Linked DNA regions of Mus musculus. Each later gene encodes a partner of the first gene's protein in a complex. Links are inferred from orthologs where the notes say so. Each region holds a gene or a part of one and is shown on either strand. Other genes may lie near its edges.

Region 1 (10,374 bases):
GGTGTGGATATACGAAGTTGGAGGCCAGTCTGGGCAACATAGGAAGACCAGACACTCTCCCCTACCATAAATGAAATGTGTGGATTCTTTATAAAGTCATACAATTATGTAAACAAAACAGACTATTTTATTTGCAATGGCATTTGAATTCTAAACGCAAAAAGTCCATCTTTAAGAAGAAAACTAAGTGGCCTTCACTGGTGTGATGTTTTGCACATAATCTCCACAATGGCATGTGATATTTTTTCGATCTTAATGAGCTGCCAGACACTGGTATTACAGTCGACCTTAAGTAACTAGCATGCAAAAAACTGGTGTCAAGTGTTTCTGCGTTTTGGTTAATTACATCCTAGTTCAGAAGTACTAAAAAGGAGCAACGGGAATCCATTTACATTTCTAAACCTTAGGTACTAGGTTTTTGATGTTGCCATCCCATAACATGTTTAATTCCTCATATCTAAAAGTTGAAGCTACCAATAAGCAGGATTTTCGAAGCATTAAACCATGCCTGATTTGTATTACAAGTTATAAAGTTATGTACTTTCCACTTATAAACTCGCACCAAAACAAAAACGTTGCAGCACGACAACGAAATGGGAAGATTTGTTTTTCTTAGCAAGGGATTCTAGAGTGGCGTTATCACATAGTAAATGACAACTTAAAAAACTATCAGCCCAAGTTTCTGCTACACTTTTTACCGGCCCCACCACGATTTCTGCCCACCCTCCCGGGCCCACAAGGACCTAAGCGTGGCGCTGTGGACAACCTCTCGTCGCCCTCCGCCGCCGCCAACGTGAACTAACTGTCTCCGGGAAGCAGCCTCGGTGGCAGGGCCAGGTCTCGCGGCTGGCTTCCGGGAGCGCGCGCCCGCCCCCTACCCGCGCTGCGCTCCCCGTTCTCCGTTAGGCGCGCTCGCAAGGCTCGCTCAACAGCCAAGCGGAAGGGGCGGTCTTAAGGACAGCCCAGCGGAAGTGACGTGGCGGATAGAGGCGCACCGGAAGTGCTGTCACCAGGAAATCGTGTCATCGAATCTTGCTTCCAGGGCACATGGCTGGAGGGCTTCATTGCTGTCTTGTTTTATGTTTGGTAGCGTTTCTTTACGTAGCGCAGGCTGTCCTGGAACTCAGGATGCTGATTAGGCTGGCCTCGAACATAAGGTTTGCCTGGGACAAATGGCGAATGCCACCATGCTCAACCGGGTAGCGGCTTGCTTTTGCCCTGGTGACCAGGACCTGCTACCTCCATAGGGTGGGCGGGCGCGTACTTAGGGTCTCACCCACCAGGATCGAGTTCACAGCAAAACTGTTGAGGTTCCAGTCCTGACCCCATGGCCACATCGGTGCACAGCAGAGTCCTGGGTATCCAGAGGGGTGGACAAGGGATACCCACCAGGAATCTTGCCCTGTCCTAAACACCCCTATGCTGACACTGGTCACCACTCACTAATTAGCGTTCTCACAGCCCCAAAATCTTGTTATTACTACCTGATTATTAAACACTACCCAGGTAAGTGTCCTACCTACCAGACACAGCTGAGTTCTAACATTCATCCTCATGAAAGTGACGTCTTGATAAAGCATTCCCACCACTCCAGAGTTCTCTGAGAGCAGTATTTGCAGGCTACTTCCTTCTGCACTTAATTGGCTCAAAGTATTGAACAGTTGTAGCTACTAGGCATGAGCTCTAACCAACAACCTCCCAGAACAAAGCTGTATTGTCTACATACTGTCAAACATGAAATACAAAGGAAAAATATCTTGGGGTCCACAGATAGAGCTTAGTATTTAAAGGCCTTCAAATGTGGCCTCCCGGAACAGAGCAAACAGGCTCTATACTAGCCATGGTTTGAGATCCTGCTGAAATATAGCAAGAACTGAAAATGGTTCCCCACACCAAACCAGGTTAACACACGCATGCTCACTCATACCTGCAAAAGACACACACACATAAAAACTGAGAGGGGAGGTAGGATAATTTGTCACCAAGCTTGAAGAACTTCATTCAACCCCTGGAAGCCAGGGTGCTGGGGTATACCAATTCCTATAAAATTGTCCTGACCCCCACATGAGCCTCACACATACACAATAAATATACTCAAATATTCTTTAGTTTTATGTAGCATATCATGATCAAAACCACAGGGCCTTTTTAACCCTTCTTGGATCAAGTAGCCACGAAGTTTGGGCCTTTGCTTCACTCAAGATGGACTGTATGTAGTCCTGGTTGGCCTAGGGAGAGATTTATCCACCCCACCCCCTGCACTGCCATTAAAGTTGTATTTTAAAAGAGCTACATCCCAAACAAGGCTACCAGAAAACTTTGCACAACGTAATTACATAAACTCAAGAGAAACATTTTTTTATTGCTATCTCCACGATGGAAGAGAGAACAAAAGCCCATTTACCTAACAGGGTATAACTATTCAGTAGCCATGGTACAAAGGCGGCACTGCTCTATGACTTTTCAAATTGTTAACTTTATTTAAATTGAACAATATTTCTTAAAACTGCATTTAGCGTCAAGATCATTGATGAAAATCACCAGTATTTGTAAAGCAGAAACATTCATGTTAACAAAACTAGTTTTTACTTTGGAGCTTATTCTTTAAGCAAATTATGGAGAATGGAGAGAAAAGAAAGTAGGTTATTTACAGAAGATATCTACATATTTTATTTTAATATTTAAGAATACTCAGGTACAAACTTGGTGACAGAAAAGACCTCAGGACACGCTGGCATCTCAGGAGCAATCTTCAAAGGTTTAGTTTTCTCAATTTCTAGCAATGCCTAAGATGCTTCCTCATCTTCAATCTTGGGAGCCAAATAATACTTTAAGTGTCCCATGTCAGCAATTTTATACTCTACAACTGAAAGACAGGAAAAATTAAACCACCGAATACTATAAATACCACATTACAAAACAATGTTCAAACTTATCATCTTACCAAGGGGCACATCTGCAGACATACTGAGTGTTACTGTAGGAGACAGTGGAGTGGCTTTTGTGAAAAAGTTCAGGTACCTCAGAGCAAACGTTAGGTGAACAGGCTCATTCATCTCTATGGTTACCTAGAGGAGAAAACAGGCTCACTGTAGACATCAGAAACTCACACTATTAGATCACGGTATTATACCACAAAGCAAAACAAATAGTTATCATTTTGGAAGGGTTGATGAAAACCTTGACTAAAGAAGAAAAAAGTCTAGCTTGCCCATCCTGTAGAGCCACACCCCAAGCAATCAAAACAAAGGAGAAAGTTGTTCCTATTCAGATTGTACATACTTCTCTTGCAAAGAATGCATGAAGAGAGGAAGATAACACATAACCACTTCCAAAAACAAGAACCAACAGCTGAATGCAAGCTAAGGGACAGTAAACCAGTCTTCATTGTATGATTATCAATTTTATTCAATTCCCAATCCTTGAACATGTGGATACTGAAAAATTCCTTAATTTCTTTTGTTGTGGAAATGCTTGCACATCAGACAAATACTGATGAATTACATGTCAGTATTTGAGAACTGAGGAGCTGAAGTTGATATGGAAGTAGAAATAATTCAGCAGATTAAGGTTAAGAACTAGTTCTTGGGTTGTGTGTTTATCTATGTTCGAATTCTTACACTTTCATTTACTTTAAATTCATGCAGAGGCCAAGTAACACCTTATATTTACCTTAAATACTTGCAGTAAGCACTCTGAATTTCACTATACTAAACCCTAAAAATCCTATTTAGTTCAGACTTCTGTGTGTAATTCTGATGCTCAGGCTAGCTAGCAAAACTTAAAAAAGAAAAAAAAAAGTGTAGCCATGAAATATACATTGGATTCCTGAGAAAAAGCCTCGATTCAGGGATACTTAGAAATTAAAGAGGCCTAGTATGTTCTACTTGAATGAGGAGGACTCGGAGAACATCTTCCTTTGCCTTCCCAATTTCTTCCTCATTCTTTTTGAGCTAGATTTTCTGCCAGGTTGACTTTAAGCTGAGAATCTTCCTGCTGTAGCTTTGAGTACTACAGTTGTGGGTTTGAGACATCATGCCCAGCTTTCTCTATGGATGTAACTGTCAAGAGCATTTAATACAACTCTTTCCACATTTTGTGAAGTCTTTCTTATTTCCCTTGGGACTGCAAATACTCTTGAACCTGCAACACATAAAGCTACATACACCCCCAACCATTTTCTTTTGCTCACTTGCCAACCCTCACTTATTTGCCAAGAGTATTTCCAGGAAGCAAAAGGCTGTACACTTAGCTTTCCAAATGCTACCTGTAAAAGCTTATGGAGTCGTCTCTGAGCTCTAAGATAGCTTGGTCTACTCAAGACTCCATCTCAAAATGAATGAATAAATAAAAACAAAAGCCGAGGCTCCATCCCTGCTTCAGACACCTAACTGGACGCCCCCTTACTACTCACCGCCTCCTCTTCTTTATCCACATTACTTGTTTGTGACAACTTAATGTTCCCATTGCCAAGCTCTCCACTTGCAGAAAACTTCACCCCATTCTTTGCACAGGATATCACAACAGCATCTCCAATGTGGCTAAGGTCTCGGCATATACGTGCAAATTCACCCGACGGCATCTTTATTACACAGCTGTACTCCTGTTCCTGTAAACCCACAAGTTAAAGGTCAGTCTAGAAAAGGGGGAAGGCTCAGCTTCATGTTCTCAAGATTTAGCATCTTAACCAGAACTCAGAATGCAAGACTTCTGGTTTCTTTAAAACTCAATCAACTTTAGACTGCTGTGGTTTAGTGAAATGGCAGTGTGCCATTCATCCCCAATACCACCACTCCACTCAGAACACGCATCAGCTGGTATCACAGCAGGGTAACACACAATCAGAAACAAGGTAACTCACTGGGATTCCAAGTTGCTCCACATCTAAGTCCATTAACTTCATTTCATAGTCTGAAACTTTCTCTTGATCTACCAAAAGAAGGAAAATGTTACCAAAGCACACCACACGGTCCTATCTATGATGGAAATTTTACAATATTGTTAATATTTTTTTTTGGTTTTGAGAAACAGAAACAACACGTAACTACCGAGTTTTAAAGGTGTTTAACTTACTTGGTGCTTCGAATACTAGTGCTAAGGTGTCTGCATTATCTTCAGCCCTTAATGTAATGATGTCTTCATTACCAGCACATTTTAGAATTTTGGACATGCTAGGGGGGAAAAAAAAAAAGACAGGCTTTATCAACATGTAATCCACATCTATATTTTAAAAAGCAATTACAAGTTGTACCATTTCACACTCACGGTTGGAGAACTGTTAAAGGGGCTAAGGGTACCCCAAACTCTCTCAGGGGTGAAGCAAATTACCGGGTATATGTGATTCTTAAAACCGACTTAGTAAAATGCACTAAAAGCCAACATTCGAGAAAGCATCTTTTTGAGCGGGGTGTCCTTGGTTTCTAGTGTACTGGAGAATGTGCCCCATCACGTCTGGCCTTTTCGTAAATCTTTCAAAATGTATACAAGTGGCACTAATCCATGTATCTGTACTAAAATAAGTCACACACTGTCCTTGAACACGTATACAGGAGGCACTAACCTAGGTAGCTGTAGCAAAGTTAAAAGCTAAAACTGACAGATTTCCCCTCAAATCCATGATGCGCAGTGAGACTCTGGAAGTCAAGAAAAGGTCTATTGTCACTCTAAGTCGACATTACATTTGCACTAAGACTCGTTTATTAGGCGCTAAGACCAGCCACTCAAAGCTGCAGGCATTTAATGAGCACAGCTCCGGAGCACTCATTTTCCCGCGGACTCCCGCTTTGTGGCTTTGGCGCGGAAACAGAGTGGGCGCCACTGCCAGCGCGGGCTTTTCGGAACCGCGCGCTTTGGTGAGGGCTGCCCCCGACACCATAGACCAATCAGAAAGCGCGGATGGCCAAGCCAGCCAATGAGCGTGCAGAGTCACAGCCCCGCCAAGAGCGGAAGCGGGAAGAGTGGGGCCCCGCTCCCGCCACCCGCTCACCTGGTGAGGTTCACGCCCATGGCTAGGTTGCGGTCGCAGCGGTATGTGTCGAAGCCTTCGGAGCGCAGAGTAAGCTGTACCAAGGAGACGTGAGACGAGTCCATGCTCTGCAGGTTCACGCCGCCCGAGCTGACGTCCCAGCAGGCCTCATTGATGAGGTCTTTGAGAGCCTCCAGCACCTTCTTCAGGATGGAGCCCTGGATCAGGCGTGCCTCAAACATGGTGGCGGAGTTGTGGCGACTAGATGAGAGCTACTCTAAGAGGAACGAGGTCTGGCTGCCAAGGTCCCCCGATTCACGATGCAGAAGCGGCAGCGAAGGCCTACAGCGACAACTACCAACCCTCTGCGCCCGCAACCGTCTAATGCCGCGGCTTCCTAGGCGCGCGCCTTTTCCCTGCGCGAGGTCATGACGCCACAGCGCTGATCCACCCACCTCTCCTCAAGGACCAATCGTACCCGTGGTTTGAGCAAGGCCCGCCCCACCGCGTATGCAAAGGCGGGGCTGCGGGGTAGGAGCCTGGGAGGCGAGGGGCATCACGGGGTTCGCGTAGGCTGTCGTCACCGCCCAAGTTTGTGGGAGTTTAGGCTGCAGTTTCCATCCTTAGGAAGTTTCCGCGCCACGGAAGTGGAAGTCACAGGCAAATCGAGCTGTGCGCGGCGGCCTGCCTTGAAGCTGGAGAGTATTTTAAACACTACGGAGCGTTTTCCCTAACGTAAGAAATACGCTGCAAAATATCGAGTAATAAAGAGGCCACCATATTTTAACACCCCTACCCCCCCCCCCATTTCATATCACTTTTCTGTGTGCGTCGCTCTGAACTTTTCTCTCTAAAGACTAAAAAAATACCTCTTAACGTGAACGCTTCTCCAAAGAAGATACCAAGTCCATATGTATCACGTAATTATTTTCCTTTTATGTCTGGTTCTCTACATTTTTCTAAAGGTAGATATTACTAGTATTTTCATCTTAATTTTAGGCTGAAGATGAACCCGAGCCTGAGCCCCATCCTGAAAATGTTAGCTGTTGCAGGTGGAGCGTCTTTCATATGTCCCTGGGCTGCAGCATTTTGTTCTACTAAAGTTTTTTTGTTTTTTTGTTTTTCCTATTGATTATGAGGATGGGGAAGAACTGACTGCAGGTAGATTAACATCATTTACAAAAGGATATAGAGTTTTTCAATTTCTCATGTTTTTTTCTTTTGGTTTTGGTGGTAGGTAAAATATATTTGATAATGAAAGTGTAATACTTTAATGTGAAACTTGATAGTTTCCATTTGGAATGCCTCTTCTAACTGTATAGAAGTTGGTTGAGTTGTGAAGAAAGCTTTTGGTGTGTGATGTTTTATTTATGTGTGTAAGGGTTTTTTGTTTGTTTGCTTTTCACTAATAAGGTATATACAATTTCAGAAAGTTAAAAGGACCGTTTTAGCTGGTGAGAGTGATTAGTGATTATAATTCCAGCACATGGGAAGGCTGAGGTCGGAGGGCCTAGATTTAAACTCACCTTGGACTATCTACCAAGACTGACCAAAGGGGAAAAAGTTTACATAGGAGCATATTAATTCCATTTCATGTTCATTTATTCTTTCCTTATTCACTGCATTTCCCTTTAGTTTGTCTTGTTTGATTTTTCTTTTCCTGGCTTGGGGATTTAGCCAGAAAACTGTATAACTTATTGAGCTATAGCCTCAGCCTGTTAAGAGTCTCCATAATTTTTTGAGGCTTGCATCAAACTCACTCTGTTATCCATGCTGGCCTTGAACTCACAATTTGATGCCACAGTCTGGCATCAAGCTTAACTCTTTAGTTTCATTTAATATCTTGGTTTGTAGGATTTCTCAGCTTTTTTTTTCTTTTATTCTTTTCACCATATATCTAGGTATGCTGAGACACAAATGTATTAATCACTCTCACAGTATTGAAGATTCATTGATTCCATCAGGTCTAGAATACTCTCGACCACTCTGATGGCAAGTGTTCGGTTTCCCTACACTGTTCACTGCCCGGCGTGTGGATTTTACAGAACTTTAGATCTATTCAGTTGTTTTGTTTTGTTTTGTTTTGTTTGAGATAAGGGTCTCTCATGTTCCCTGGCTGTACTGGAGTTTGCTTGGTAGACCAGGCTGGCAAATTTGACTTTTTAAAATTGGTGTGTATGCATCCAGCCCAGCATTTATGTCAGCTTATAAGGTGCATCATTATTTTATGCAGCACAAACGAGGAAAACTGTCAAACTACCACACAGTGCTATATCACATACAATTTTGATACTATAATAGTTACAAATAAAAACAGTTATGGGCTGGAGACATGGCTCAGTGGTTAAGAGTACTTGCTGTTCTTCCAAAGGTCCCGAGTTCAATTCCCAGAACCTGCATGGCAGCTCACAGCTGTGTGATGCCATCCTCTGGTGTACATGCAGGAAAGGACCTGTATTTGTATAAATGCATAAATAAATAAATCTTTAAAATATTGAATACAATTTTTTTAAAATTAAAAACAAAACCCAGAAAACCCCACTACTATACTTTCAGCCCCCACCCCTTAATCATATATTACCCTTGTGGGTATCTTTTAAGAAAAACATGGGAGCCGGGCGTGGTGGCTCACGCCTTTAATCCCAGCACTTGGGAGGCAGAGGCAGGTGAATTTCTGAGTTCGAGGCCAGCCTGGTCTACAGAGTGAGTTCCAGGACAGCCAAGACTACACAGAGAAACTCTGAAACAAAAAACCAAAAAAAAAAAAAAAAAAAAAACCAAAAAAAAAAAAAGAAAGAAAAACATGGGAGCTAGGGTTACATAGTGATAGAGTGCTTGCCTGACCTGTACAACACATGATCTCCATCCTCACAGAAGACACGACAGAGAGGTGTTCACACTGTCTGTTTATAGTAGTGCTATCAGTTTCCCACTGAGCTGCTGCTGCTGCTGTTTTTAATGTATTACACTCTGCTTTGTTAAGGATGTCAATGCTCAAGAGTGCAAGTCTAGGGATAAAAGTCTAAAAATATTTTTTAAAAAGAGTACTATTCTGTTGCATCTGGAGTTTCATCCACTTGTGAATTTTAATGCTGGCATTTCTTGTTTTACATGTAATAAATTATTGTTTTATTAACATTTATTTATATGTGGTGCATGCATGCCTTAGCGCATGTGTGGAGGTCAGAGGAAAACACGTAAGAGTCAGCTCCGTTCTTTCACCCTGGATCCCAGGATAGAACTCAGGTTGCCAGGCTTAGTGGTAAGTTAAGTCCCTTTACCTGCTAAGCTGTCTTGACAGCCTGAATTATTCCTTCACACAGCAAGAGATAATGTAGGACTGGTCTTGCAGCTTAGTGTTACTGTGTGTCCAACAACACAGCACAAACAAAAATAAAAACCCATCATACAGCTACATATATTTGTGAGAATTTTCTTTTCTTGAGTTTCTTAAAATCTCATTTCCTTTGCAAACCATAGAATGTGTTCTTTCTGACTTGTGGTCTTGCTTTGCTAACAACACTAACAACACTATGTTTCTTCTGTTGCTCTGTCTCGGTGCTGGGGGCTTATATAATATTTTCTTTAATGCCTAGAAATGTAATTATTTTAGAGACTTTTTCTTAATGCTGGGAACTGATGTCAGGACTTCAGAAAAGCTAAACAGAAACCCGCCTTTGAGCTATGCCTCAGCCTCCTGGAGATATTTTATTTTATTATTATTATTATTATTATTATTATTATTATTTTAAAGATGTACTTATTATTATACATAAGTACACTGTAGCTGTACACCAGAAGAGGGCATCAGATCTCATTTTGGGTGGTTGTGAGCCACCATGTGGTTGTTAGGATTGGAACTCAGGACCACAGGGAGAGCAAGCAGTCAGTGCTCTTAACTGCTTAGCCATCTCACCAGCAGATAAATTCCATTGGCATGATGCCTGCTGTGCCTATGAATCTGTTGAAACAAGAACTTAAAACTAGCTATGTACTAGTTATAGAAAGACTGTCTAAGGAGGTAGCATTTTACCAGAGAAGCTAGCTGTTTTAGGAGTGGAAGAGACCATTGTAATGTAATAGAGAACAGAATGATTAATGGTGGACACTGGGGCTGGGATGTAGCTCACACACACAAGTCTCTGGGTTCCATCCTCAGAAACAGAAAGAGAGGAGGAGACTGATGAGCAGGTAAGAAAAGGCGTGCTTAGTGGCCTGTGGTAGGACTCAAAGGTTGATGTGGGGCTCAAGAGGTGGCTCAGCGGATAGGAGCACTGACTGCTCTTCCAGAGGTCCTGAGTTCAAATCCCAGCAACCACATGGTGGCTCACAACTACCTGAAATGGAAGACATTCACTTGCTTGCCTGCTCACCCCATCTCATTTTAAAACAAAATAAGAAATGCAAAA
Region 2 (10,718 bases), on another chromosome or scaffold:
GTAGCAGCTAGGAGGCCAAACCAGAGGATGAGAAACCCAGCCCCTAGGGAAGGGGAGTTCGGGGGGGGGGGGGTAGTGTATGCCAGCCGTACCCTGTAACAGGTAGGGACTGAGGAAGAACCTGGCAGAGAGGTCCACTTTGATATATTAAGTAGGTACTTTGGCCTTTGGTCCCAGGTTTGAAACTTAACAGCAACTCTGCTCACCAATAAACCACCAATACCACACCAACTCCCACTTATAATTTCTTCTATAGAGGCACTATGCTAAGAGATAAAATCTTCTGTAATTCTCAAAGCAACATACAAAGCATATATTTTTGTTGTTGTTGTTGTTGTTTTCCAAGACAGGGTTTCTTTGTGTAGCCCTGGCTGTCCTGGAACTCACTCTGTAGACCAGGCTGGCCTTGAACTCAGAAATCCGCCTGCTTCTACCTCCTAAATGCTGGGATTAAAGGCGTGTGCCACCACTGCCTGGCTTGTTTGTTTGTTTTAAGATTTATTTATTTTATATATGTGACTTCACTGTAACTGTTGCTGTCTTCAGACACACCAGAAGAGGACATCAGATCCTATTACAGATGGTTGTGAGCCACCATGTGGTTGCTGGGAATTGAACTCAGGACCTCTGAAAGAGTAGTCAGTGCTCTTAACCACTGAGCCATCTCTCCAGCCCTTTGTCGTTGTTTTTCACATTTACTTATCCTGTGAGGGGTTCTACATGTCTTTGAAAGTACTACAGCATCCGTGTAGAGATCAGGGAACTTTTGGGGACTAATCATCTTTCCACCAGGTAAATTCTGGGGACTAAGGCCAGGTCTTCATCCTTGCCAGCAAGCAGGTGCCTTTATCCATTATGCTATCTTGCTGGGCCACAAAATATTGTTATCTGTGTTAAGTTTCAAACCCTGGACAAATGAGGTAACTACTTAACATATCAAAATGGACCTGGCACCCAAGTTCTCCCAGCATCCCTCAGTCCCTACATAGTACGGGATATGGCTGGCACACCCTACCCTCTACCCGAACTCTCCAGACCAGGGGCTGGGCTGCCCTTTCCCAGAAGTTCTTCCTTATATAATCCAGCCATTTTGGTTACCAGCCTCTTTTGCACCTTTGCCCTCTTGGCTACTGCACCTGGTTCCCCTCTCTCCACATGGCCCAGCTCAGCCAGATCATACCTACTCTGGACTCTCCTAGATGTCCCTGCCTCTGCCCTATTATCAATAATAATCTTTCTCCTCCAATATACCTAGGCTAGTCATGTTCCTTTTCTTTTAACTTCTTTCTTTCTTTCTTTTTTCATTCAATCTGCATGTTAAAGTTGGGATAATGAGCTAATAAATAATTTACACAAGTCTCAGAACTGTGATGACACCTAGTCTAGGACTCTGGTGTGATAGTCTGAACTTTTCCATTCTACAACATTGCTTCCAGATTCGTCATCTGATAATATTTAAGGAGTGCCTAGCCAGTGCCTGTAATCCCAGTACTCAGGAGGCAGAAGAGAAGGATTAGGAGTTCAAGGTCAGCCTCAGCTACCTAGGGAGTTCAAGGCTATCCTGAGCAACTTGAGGCTCATATAAAAACAAAAACAAAACAAGACCAAAAGCTAGTTCAGTGATAGAATGCAGGAATCCTGGTGTTAAATCCCTAGCATTTACAAAATAATCCCATTTTTTTTCTTTATACCAAAGAATAATACAGGTGACTATTAAATATGAAAAAAAATATATGGTATTTTGCTTTTGAATACTAGAGTGGGAAACTACTTTTGACATCACAGATAGATACTACAAAAAAGAAAAGACTTAGATTTAAACACTAAAGTACTACAAATTCATTTCTTGGAAAAAAAGTTAAAAAATAAAATTTTAAATGTGAGTAAAGATTCCCAAAATATATGACAAACTGAAAAAATTGAAGTCTGTCTGTCTTTTTTCCCTTCAGTTTTTTTTGAGGCAGGGTTTCTTTATGTAGCCCTGGCTGTACTGGAACTTGTTCTGTAGAGCAGGCTAGCCTCAAACTCAGAGAGATCCTTTTGCCTCTGCCTCCCAAGTGCTGGGAATTAAAGGCGTACACAACCATGCTGGGTTTGAAGTATTTCTTTAAAAATATTATGATGCTAAGACAGCAACAAGCTACAAGACATCAATGGGCAATATACATATAAAACATTTTCAGCCAGGTGGGGTACATATAGATACAAAGTAATGAGTCATCACTTTACAATCAGACTGGATAGAGTAAAGAGATAGGAAAGAGGAAGGAGGTGGCTGAAGACAAGGCTCAGTGGGTAAAGTGTTTGTTATCCAAGTCTGAGAACCTGAATTCTGACCTCCATAGAACCCATACAAAATTAAACTGTAACCCAAGCACTGGGGTGGGGAGGTCAAAGACAATAGGGTCCTGGCAGCTCCCAAGCTAGCCAGTCTAACTGATTGGGAAGCTTCCCGTTCAGTGAAAGTCTGTCTTAAAAAGTATAGTGGGCCCGGCGTGGTGGCCCACGCCTTTAATCCCAGCACTCTGGAGGCAGAGGCAGGCGGATTTCTGAGTTCAAGGCCAGCCTGGTCTCCAAAGTGAGTTCCAGGACAGCCAGAGCTACACAGAGAAACCCTGTCTCAAAAAAACCAAAAAAGTATAGTGGGGAAGAGAAGGAAGAAGACACCCCAACGTGAAATTCTGGTTTCCACATGCACCCACACAAGGGAGTACAGCTGCACACCACGCACACAGGAAACGGGTTCTCTCATACAGTGCTATTGTAAAGAACGTGGAAATATTCCTCCTGGAGAATAATCTAGGAGTCATAGAGACTCTTCGGATGAACCTAAAAGTAGCCGACAAGTCAGAGGGTAAAAGCTCCCGCAGCCAAGGCCAGTGACCTGAGTCTGCTCTCCAGTCCCACCTGATAGAAGAGAACTGACTGCCCCAGGGTAAACTCCGGTCCACAGGGTCTGTACACACTCAGAAACAAAGGATCTGCCCTCCTGTACTCCTGCAGCACTAGCCACAAAAGCCAGGAAGGGAAAGCAAACTAAATGCCTGCCAACAGATGAATTCATTTATAAAATGTGATACTTAAGTGCCAGGGACTCAGCATTGAGAAGGAAATCCTTGCACAGCCTACATGAATGAACTCTGGAGATATTAAGTTAAATAAGCTAGTTATAAAATGTCAAACGCTGCAGGAGTCTGTTCCTTTACATGAGATAGAAGATAAGCTCTTGGAAACAGAAAGCAGAATGGTGCTTGCAAGGAGTCAGGCAGAGTGAAAACAGAATTTTTTGCTATGTAAGAAAGACCTTTCACAGCTGTATTGTACACCAAGGTATAAAAGGTTAATGCACTGTAAAGTCCACACTTAATGCTTAAAATGGTAGATTTTGTTATATACTTTCATTACAGTAACAAAAAAATATTACTGATTGGCAACTGTAAATAACCATTAGCAAGAAATAGGTTATATTTGAGCTACATCATGGAATACAGGCATCATAAACAATGACAGTAATATTGTCATAATTAACCCACTGTGCTTTAAATAAAGCAGTAGCATGCCATCCTAACAGGTCACTCTGTACCCAGGATACAATCCACACAACTACAGGTCATTCTGTAAAGGGGAACAATTGGGAGGTGGGGGAGGAACAGGACTGAGGGCCAGCAGAAAGAATCAAAACAGGCAATCTTGGGAGTTGGAGGTAGGGGGACCCTCTAGAATGTACCAGAGATCCAGGAGGTGAGACTCTCTCAGGACTCAAAGGGAGGGACCTTGGATGAAATGCCCTACAGTGGGGAGAGGAACTTGTAGAATCCACCTCCAGTGGAAGCATGGGGTTGCCATCCCACAGTCAAATACTCTGACCCATAATTGTTCCTATCTGGAAAAAACTGCCTGGACTAAAATGGAGAACAGCCTGAGGAAAAAGAGGTCCAGCTACAGGCCTAAAGTGGGATCCAGCTCAAGGGGAGGCCCCAAGACCTGACACATTACTGAGGCTATGGAGTTCTCACAAAAAGGGACAGATCATGACTGCCCTCCGAAGACCCAACAAGCAGCTGAGTCAGATGCAGATACTTCCACCCAACCAATGAACAGAGGCTGCTGACCCTGTGGTTGAATTAGGGAAAAGCTGGAAGGAGCTGAGGAGGAGGGCAACCCTGTTGGAGGAACAGCAGTCTCAAGTAACCTGGACTCCCGAGATCTCTCAGACAATGGGCCACCAACCAGGCAGCATGCACCAGCTGATATGAGGATTCCCAACACATCCACAGCAGAGGACTGCAGGGTCTGGACTAAGTGAGAGAAGATGCATCTAACCCTCAAGAGACTGGAGGCCCCAGGGAGTAGGGAGGTCTGGTGGGGTGGGGGCATCCTCTTGGAGATTGGGGGTGGAGGGAACTATAGGATGAGGAACAGTCAGGGGGCGGAACAGGATGGGGATAAAGACTGGACTGTAAAAAAACCTAACAGGTCATTCTGCAGAGGGCCAAGAATAATGGGCCAGTGGTTCACTTGCTGCTTTTGCGGAGGACTCAGGTTAGATTTGTAGCACCTAGAAGGTGGCTCACAACCATTTGGAACTTCTGTTTCAGGAGATCCAATGACTTCTTATAGGCATGTACATGGTGCACATACATGCACGCACTCAGACACATAAAATAAATAAACCTTTAAGAAAAAAACAAAACAGAACAAAAAGTAACACCTTTTTGCTAGGCATGGTGGTGACAGCCTTTAATCCCAGCATCCCGGTGGCAGGGGAAGGCTGAACTTTTTGAGATTCCTAAACATTTGAGAAGCAATGGTTTAGAGTTGAAAGTGAGGCTGGAACACAGTGACAAAGCACATTATCCAGCAAATGCAAGGCTCTCGGTTTGTCTCCAGCACTCAAAAAAATAAAAGACATACTAAACACCCTTAGCCCTTTTGGGGCTCAGATTAAATATTCAGTAATATGATTGTCATTATTACTACATATTGACTTCTACTCTGGAAGGACTTATGAAAAAAATCCCAACTAAGCATTTATGGACAATGCTAAGTTATCACTTGAAACTCTAACTCCTAGATGGGGATGATGCCTTCTGTTTAATATTCATATAGCACACACACACACTTGCACACACACACGTGAAAGTATTATATTGAAAAGCAAAAACATTTATTTTCTTTAAAAAAGTAAGAGTGTTTTGTCTGCTTGGAAGTTGCAGATATATTTCTGTCTCTGGGATTGCACTAGTTAGGACTCTCATCCACATAGTATATAAAACACCTCTTAACAGTTCTGGACACAGACTTAATACTTCAATAAAAATAATGAAAATAGAAAGGAATGGTTTTTAAATCTAAAAGTAGAAAGCAAAGAGGAAACCAAATCAACACACAAAACATAACTATGAAGATGCTAAATTTGGAGATATTAAAAAGACCAAGTAACATAAATTTTGCTTAATCTTTCTAACTCGTTTTAAACAAAACTTACCTTTCTGTGCACTCTTCAATCCTTTAAGCCTAGTATATTTACCACTAGTGTAAGTGCTCAATAAATATTTATGAGAAAAGTAGTAAGACAAAGTCTCCATAAAAATGATGGAGGAGACTTTTTTTTTTTTAAGATCCTGTTCAAAGGCAACTTCTGACTTCTGGGGACTATTTGTATAAATGGGAGGAATTAGTTCAGAATTTCCAATACCTTCCAGGACATGAACCTATGCTGCTTCACAGACAGTAGCTAAAGGCAAATTAAAGCATCCTCTACAAACTCAAGAGTGAACAGATCTGATAAACACTGGCTCTGCAAGACTAAGTAGCAAAGTAGAAAATTACATTACAGGCTCGAGAATTACACCCATGCCATTTCATATTTCTGGATGGGTTTTTTTAGGGGGAGGGGGCAGTGCGGGGGGGGGGGTTATTTTAGACAAGGTGAATTCTGTAGTCCCAGCTGTTTTAAAACTCACTCTGTAGCCCAGGCTATGAACTCGCGGCGACCTTTCAGCTTCCAGCTGTTACAGGCATCAGCCACCACGCCCGACTGTTACCCACTATTTTCTTATAGCGCAATTAAAGTGCAGTCAATTTCCCATCTCTTGCCCTATACAGTCCGCCAAAATGCAGCACTAGCTTCATAATCTTCAACTCCCGCCAAACTTTTTGCAAGCGTCTTCAACTAAGCGGAAGTGACGTTAAACGGATGACCTAGACTTGGAAGAGTTCAAATACCAGCACTCTAAAACATTGTAATGTGTTGAGAAAATTCCCAACCCTGTTATATTCTCCTTCCTTTAGCGATGCGAAAAGACCTGACTAGAACCTTGCGACTTCATTCTCAACTCCAAATTATTCAAAAATTTCCTCTTACTCATCTAGACAAGGAGGTTACACCGTAACCTCTCAAGAACTACAATTCCCATGAAACACTACCGGAAGCAAAATGAGGAAAACAGGGTCTCAAAGCATCTTGGGAACTGTAGTCGCAGGAGCCAAAGTGCTCAGAAGCCCTGCCTCCACCACTAAGACTGGAGGAACCAGGTGTTCAGCCTGGAACCCGTTACCGCTAAGGGGCGGAGCCACATCCTTAAAGCCTTCCTCTCATCTTCCCACATGAACGACAAAATTGTCCTTTCATCCTTAAAAAGCTCTATAATCATTCCCTGAAGAAAGAGAGTTGTCTACCACATCTCCAGTGATTAAAATCGCCCGGAACTCGCCCACCTCAGGATTCTACTCGTGGGAAAGGTGGCTCTTTCACAAGTGGGCAAAATGGCTGTCCTCCTAGCTTTATCATTGGTTGACTCTTACGTCGTTCAGGGACGACAACTTGCCCGGGATTGGTTCTTTTTCTTTTGTGGGTGGAGATAGACTTAGTCCCGTTCTCCCGCTGTCCCGCAGTGATAATGGGGGTGGAGCGAAAGTGGTTTTCAAACGCTGATTGGATAATTTGTATGTCACTTAATGTTGACCTAGCGTATGAGGTAGGCTGCTTTCCGTCAACGCGACGGAGAGGCGGGGCCAGTGCGTGGTGGGAAGGGGCGGGATTCTGCCGCCGCGGCTGCCGCTGGAGCCGGTGTCCGGGCTGGTGATGGGGTTAATTCCCTTCCGTGAGACTCTACCTTGCAACCAGCCGGCCCCGCCGTCGCCCCGCTGTGCCGCGCTCCCGCCACCTCCTCCTGCTCCTTCTCAGTAACGCGGGTAAGAGATGCTGTCCCCTCCCCCGCGGCGCCCCGGGAATAACGCGCTCGCTCCCCTCCCCCGCCCGCCAACCGGTAGCGCTAACGGAGCGGGAGAGTGAGGCAGCCGGGGAGCTAAGCGCTGAGGAGACGGCGTCCCTCCCCTCTCCTCCGGCCCGCCAGGGGCCGTCGGGTTCTGAGGCGAGCCCTCTAGTCGCCTCCACCGCGCGGTGCCCGCCGCTTCGCTGGGGGCCATGTGCAGCGCCAACCCCTTGAGGCCTAGCGGGGGAGCTGGGGACAGGTTCCCGAGCGTCCCTGCTGCAGCTGCTGCTCTTGCGAGCCCTGGAGATCCGGGGAGGACGGAGGGGAAAAGCAACATAGTCAGGCCAGGCTGGAGCAGGGACCGTTCGCGGAACTGTTCTCCGGGGCCTGGACCAGATGCCCGGGGCTGATACCCCCGCTCCGGGGAATTGTCACACACACCAAAAGGGAAACAGCACGTCGTGCCCGTACTGCCCGTACTGCTAGAAAAAACACAGTGGGGAAATTAGCAAGAAAGTTGAATGACTGTCAGAGCCTTGGTCGTTGATGGACGAACCTACGGGGGACGTTATGATGTAAATCCCCCTCCCCCCTTTCCATCCCTGTATATTAGAAGTTTTTTTTTTTTTCTTCTTGTGGTTATGTACCAGAGATTGTCACTGTTGTCTGAAGTTGCTTTTAAGGAGAAACAAAATTGGGTTTGGCTGTTGTGACTTCTGTGAATTGGGTCCTGAGAGAGCAAGTCCCCTAAACTAGTTAGAGGTGAAGAGGTATCTTCCAAAGCAGTGCTGCTTACTAAATAATAAGGTGCATTTCTGAAGAGGTAAAAATAGAATTTCTAGCATGAATGAATACACACAAACACACATATCCCACTCCTAAGGTTATAGTTTGGCTGGGTCACGTTAAAGAATCTCATACCATACTCCCCTTTATTTTAGATTTTTTCCCTGGACAGGGTCTCTCTGTGTAGCCCTGGCTGTCCTGGTACTCACAATGTAGACCAGGCTGGCCTTGAGCTCACAGAATCCACCTGTCTCTGCCTCCCAAGAGCTGGGATCAAAGGTGTGGCCCCCCATCGCCCAGCTAAAGAAACCTCTTAAATTTAAATGTCATTGATTCCAAGAGCATCGAGTCATAAAAAGATGAAATCAACCTCGAAGCCCCTTCCTTATAATACTTGAATCAGTAGAGTTCATGTAGCTACCCATTTAACTGAAGAAATATCATTCTCTTCAGATTTTATGTCTTTATATTTTAGGGGATTGTCTTATAATTGTATCAGATTTTGATAGTGTGCCCATCTTTTCAAATTCCACTCTGCTTTTTCAGCCTAGGAGAATATGACTTTAGTGGACCCTGTAATCTATAATAGGCATGGCTACAGACCACCCCATTTCTAAGATTTATTTGTTTTAGAGAGAACACTGGTTCTGAATAAACAACCTATGCTTTGACTAATAGACTATTTCTTCTGGGTCACAGAAGTACCTTAGGAATCTGCCATGTTCTCAAAATAATGCAAGTAGATACAGAAGTAAAATAGATCCATTCACTTGGATTAAGAAGGAATCTGGTTATGTGTTACTGATTTTTTTAATGTAGTACATAGCTTTTGAAGATTAGTTCCCTCAGCTTCTCCATTGAGTCCCCATAGCATACATTCCCTAGCATAGTTCCCCAAACTTGATAATTAGTTGGCAATTTATGCAGTGATATATTTAGGTCTCATGAATTCTTTGTATGGAAGGTCTGATGAAAATACAGGGGACTACATTCTTTTACTATTTGTGGGACCATTTTATGAGGCTAATCTAACCTAACCTCGGTTAATAATGGGGAGGATAATGCTTAATCTATGGAGCTGTAAATAGACTATGTAAAGCTACTAGGATTGTGTCTCACATGTATATATTTGTTACATTAAGTTTTTATCTTTGTTTTCTCATTTTCATATTTAGAGAATGAATTTGCTGTTCATATGCAGAGTATTGTTGCAGTCTCAAAAATCTCTTCTACTGTTGAGTGTTAATGTACACAGTGGCTTAAAACAATATCTCATAGCCAATTTTTTTGTTTTTGTTTTATTACATTTACTGGGGTACGGGGCGCAGCACAGAAGTACCATGATACATTTTAGGAGGGTGGAGGACAGTGGTAAGGTTAGGAGAAATCAGTTCTTCTTCTATCCTATTGGTCTCTGGGATTGAACTCAGGTGGTCTGATTTGAAGGCCAAGTGCCTTTATGCACTAAACCATCTTGCTAGCCTTTAGCCATTTTTTTTTTAAGCAGACAGAATATATGAAATTGGTCATTGGGTATCAAAGAGAATTTTGTCATACACAGTATCTTTTTTCCTTTTGTTTAAAATTTCTGCGTTTGGAACATATTTCAAATAGATTACCCATAATAAAAATGTGCTTTGTGTTTTAGTGTTTTAGTAGTAAACTAGGGTTGTTGTCCTGCTTTACTTTGTTAATATGTTTCAAGGTCTAGTTTACAGTTGCTTTTGGACTCATTCTGTTACCAGAGAAACCAAGTGACTGATACAAAGTTAAGACTGAGAAAGTTATCTTACCAGACTGTTGCTTTGTGCTCTTGAGGTTTGTTGGTTTTATTTTTGCTATTTTTTTTTCCTCAATGCTAGGGATTGAACCTTTCACCTCATACATGCCAGCAAGTATTCCAACATTGAGTTAAATCCTTGCTCTTTAGTTCCTACTCCATTGTTTAGCAGTCCTTGGGTATTTTTTTTTCTTTGAAATACCATATTCCTCCCTGTTCCCAAGTATATTTGAAAGTATAGTTTTCACACATAAAGGTGTCCTTGGAGTTGGTGCAGCCGAGCCAGGTTTCGATTAGCATGCCAACAGTTGTGTTATGAAGTGTTGCTGGTACTATCCAAGATTGACAGCATCTACATGGTCACATGCCACTGAGTTATTGAGCTCTGTGTACTTGGGTGCTTCTCTAAAGGGACTTACCCAGTAATTAAAGAGGTTTTTGTTTGAACTGACGTTTTAAATATCCAGTTATAACCATTTGGGTTACTATTAAGCTGCAATTCTTATAAACAAGGAAGTGTAGTAAGAGTTGTGTATGCTAAAGACTAATGAAACTATAATATTCTGTTCCTACTTGAAGTAGAAAACTTCCCAATTAACCCTTCCCATGACCTGTTGTAAAAATGTCCAGCACTCACATGTCATAGAGGTGGATGTGTTTCCAAGTGGAAATGAAAATTTCGGATTGCTCTTGTTGCAAACCACAGAACCAGCCCTCCATTTCCCATTCTTGCCTATAGGAAGAATAATTTATTTATGGTTTTAGGTAACTAAATTGGCAGGTGATAGAAAAGGAAATGTATTAGTTTTTTCCCATATAATACTAAATGTTAAAAAAAAAAAAAAGATTACATTGCCTGGCACTTAATCCTTTGAGCTCACTATAAACTTTTATTAGTAATACAAACATGCATCATGCACCAAATAACATAATAA

The links. Proteins that work in one complex are often made in the same cells at the same time.
Region 2: the proteins of Pcna (region 1) and Zranb3 are in contact, whole or in part, in a crystal structure (PDB 5YD8), measured with the Homo sapiens proteins. The link is inferred for Mus musculus from reciprocal best matches to the Homo sapiens genes PCNA and ZRANB3. Residues at the interface, in NP_002583.1 of Homo sapiens: Met40, His44, Val45, Ser46, Leu47, Gln125, Leu126, Gly127, Ile128, Pro129, Asp232, Val233, Pro234, Tyr250, Leu251, Ala252, Pro253; in NP_115519.2 of Homo sapiens: Asp1071, Ile1072, Thr1073, Phe1075, Leu1076, Val1077.

What each region holds. Positions count from the first base shown.
Region 1 is NC_000068.7:132,246,830-132,257,203, forward strand, and holds Pcna (proliferating cell nuclear antigen), read right to left. Parts: upstream 6,352-10,374; 5' UTR 6,208-6,351; coding exon 5,987-6,207; intron 5,172-5,986; coding exon 5,074-5,171; intron 4,930-5,073; coding exon 4,862-4,929; intron 4,610-4,861; coding exon 4,415-4,609; intron 3,069-4,414; coding exon 2,945-3,068; intron 2,867-2,944; coding exon 2,787-2,866; 3' UTR 2,457-2,786; downstream 1-2,456. UniProt on the Homo sapiens protein: Auxiliary protein of DNA polymerase delta and epsilon, is involved in the control of eukaryotic DNA replication by increasing the polymerase's processibility during elongation of the leading strand.
Region 2 is NC_000067.6:128,096,287-128,107,004, forward strand, and holds the start of Zranb3 (DNA annealing helicase and endonuclease ZRANB3), read right to left. Parts: upstream 6,186-10,718; 5' UTR 5,967-6,185; exon of another isoform or gene 5,489-5,966; intron 1-5,488. UniProt on the Homo sapiens protein: DNA annealing helicase and endonuclease required to maintain genome stability at stalled or collapsed replication forks by facilitating fork restart and limiting inappropriate recombination that could occur during template switching events.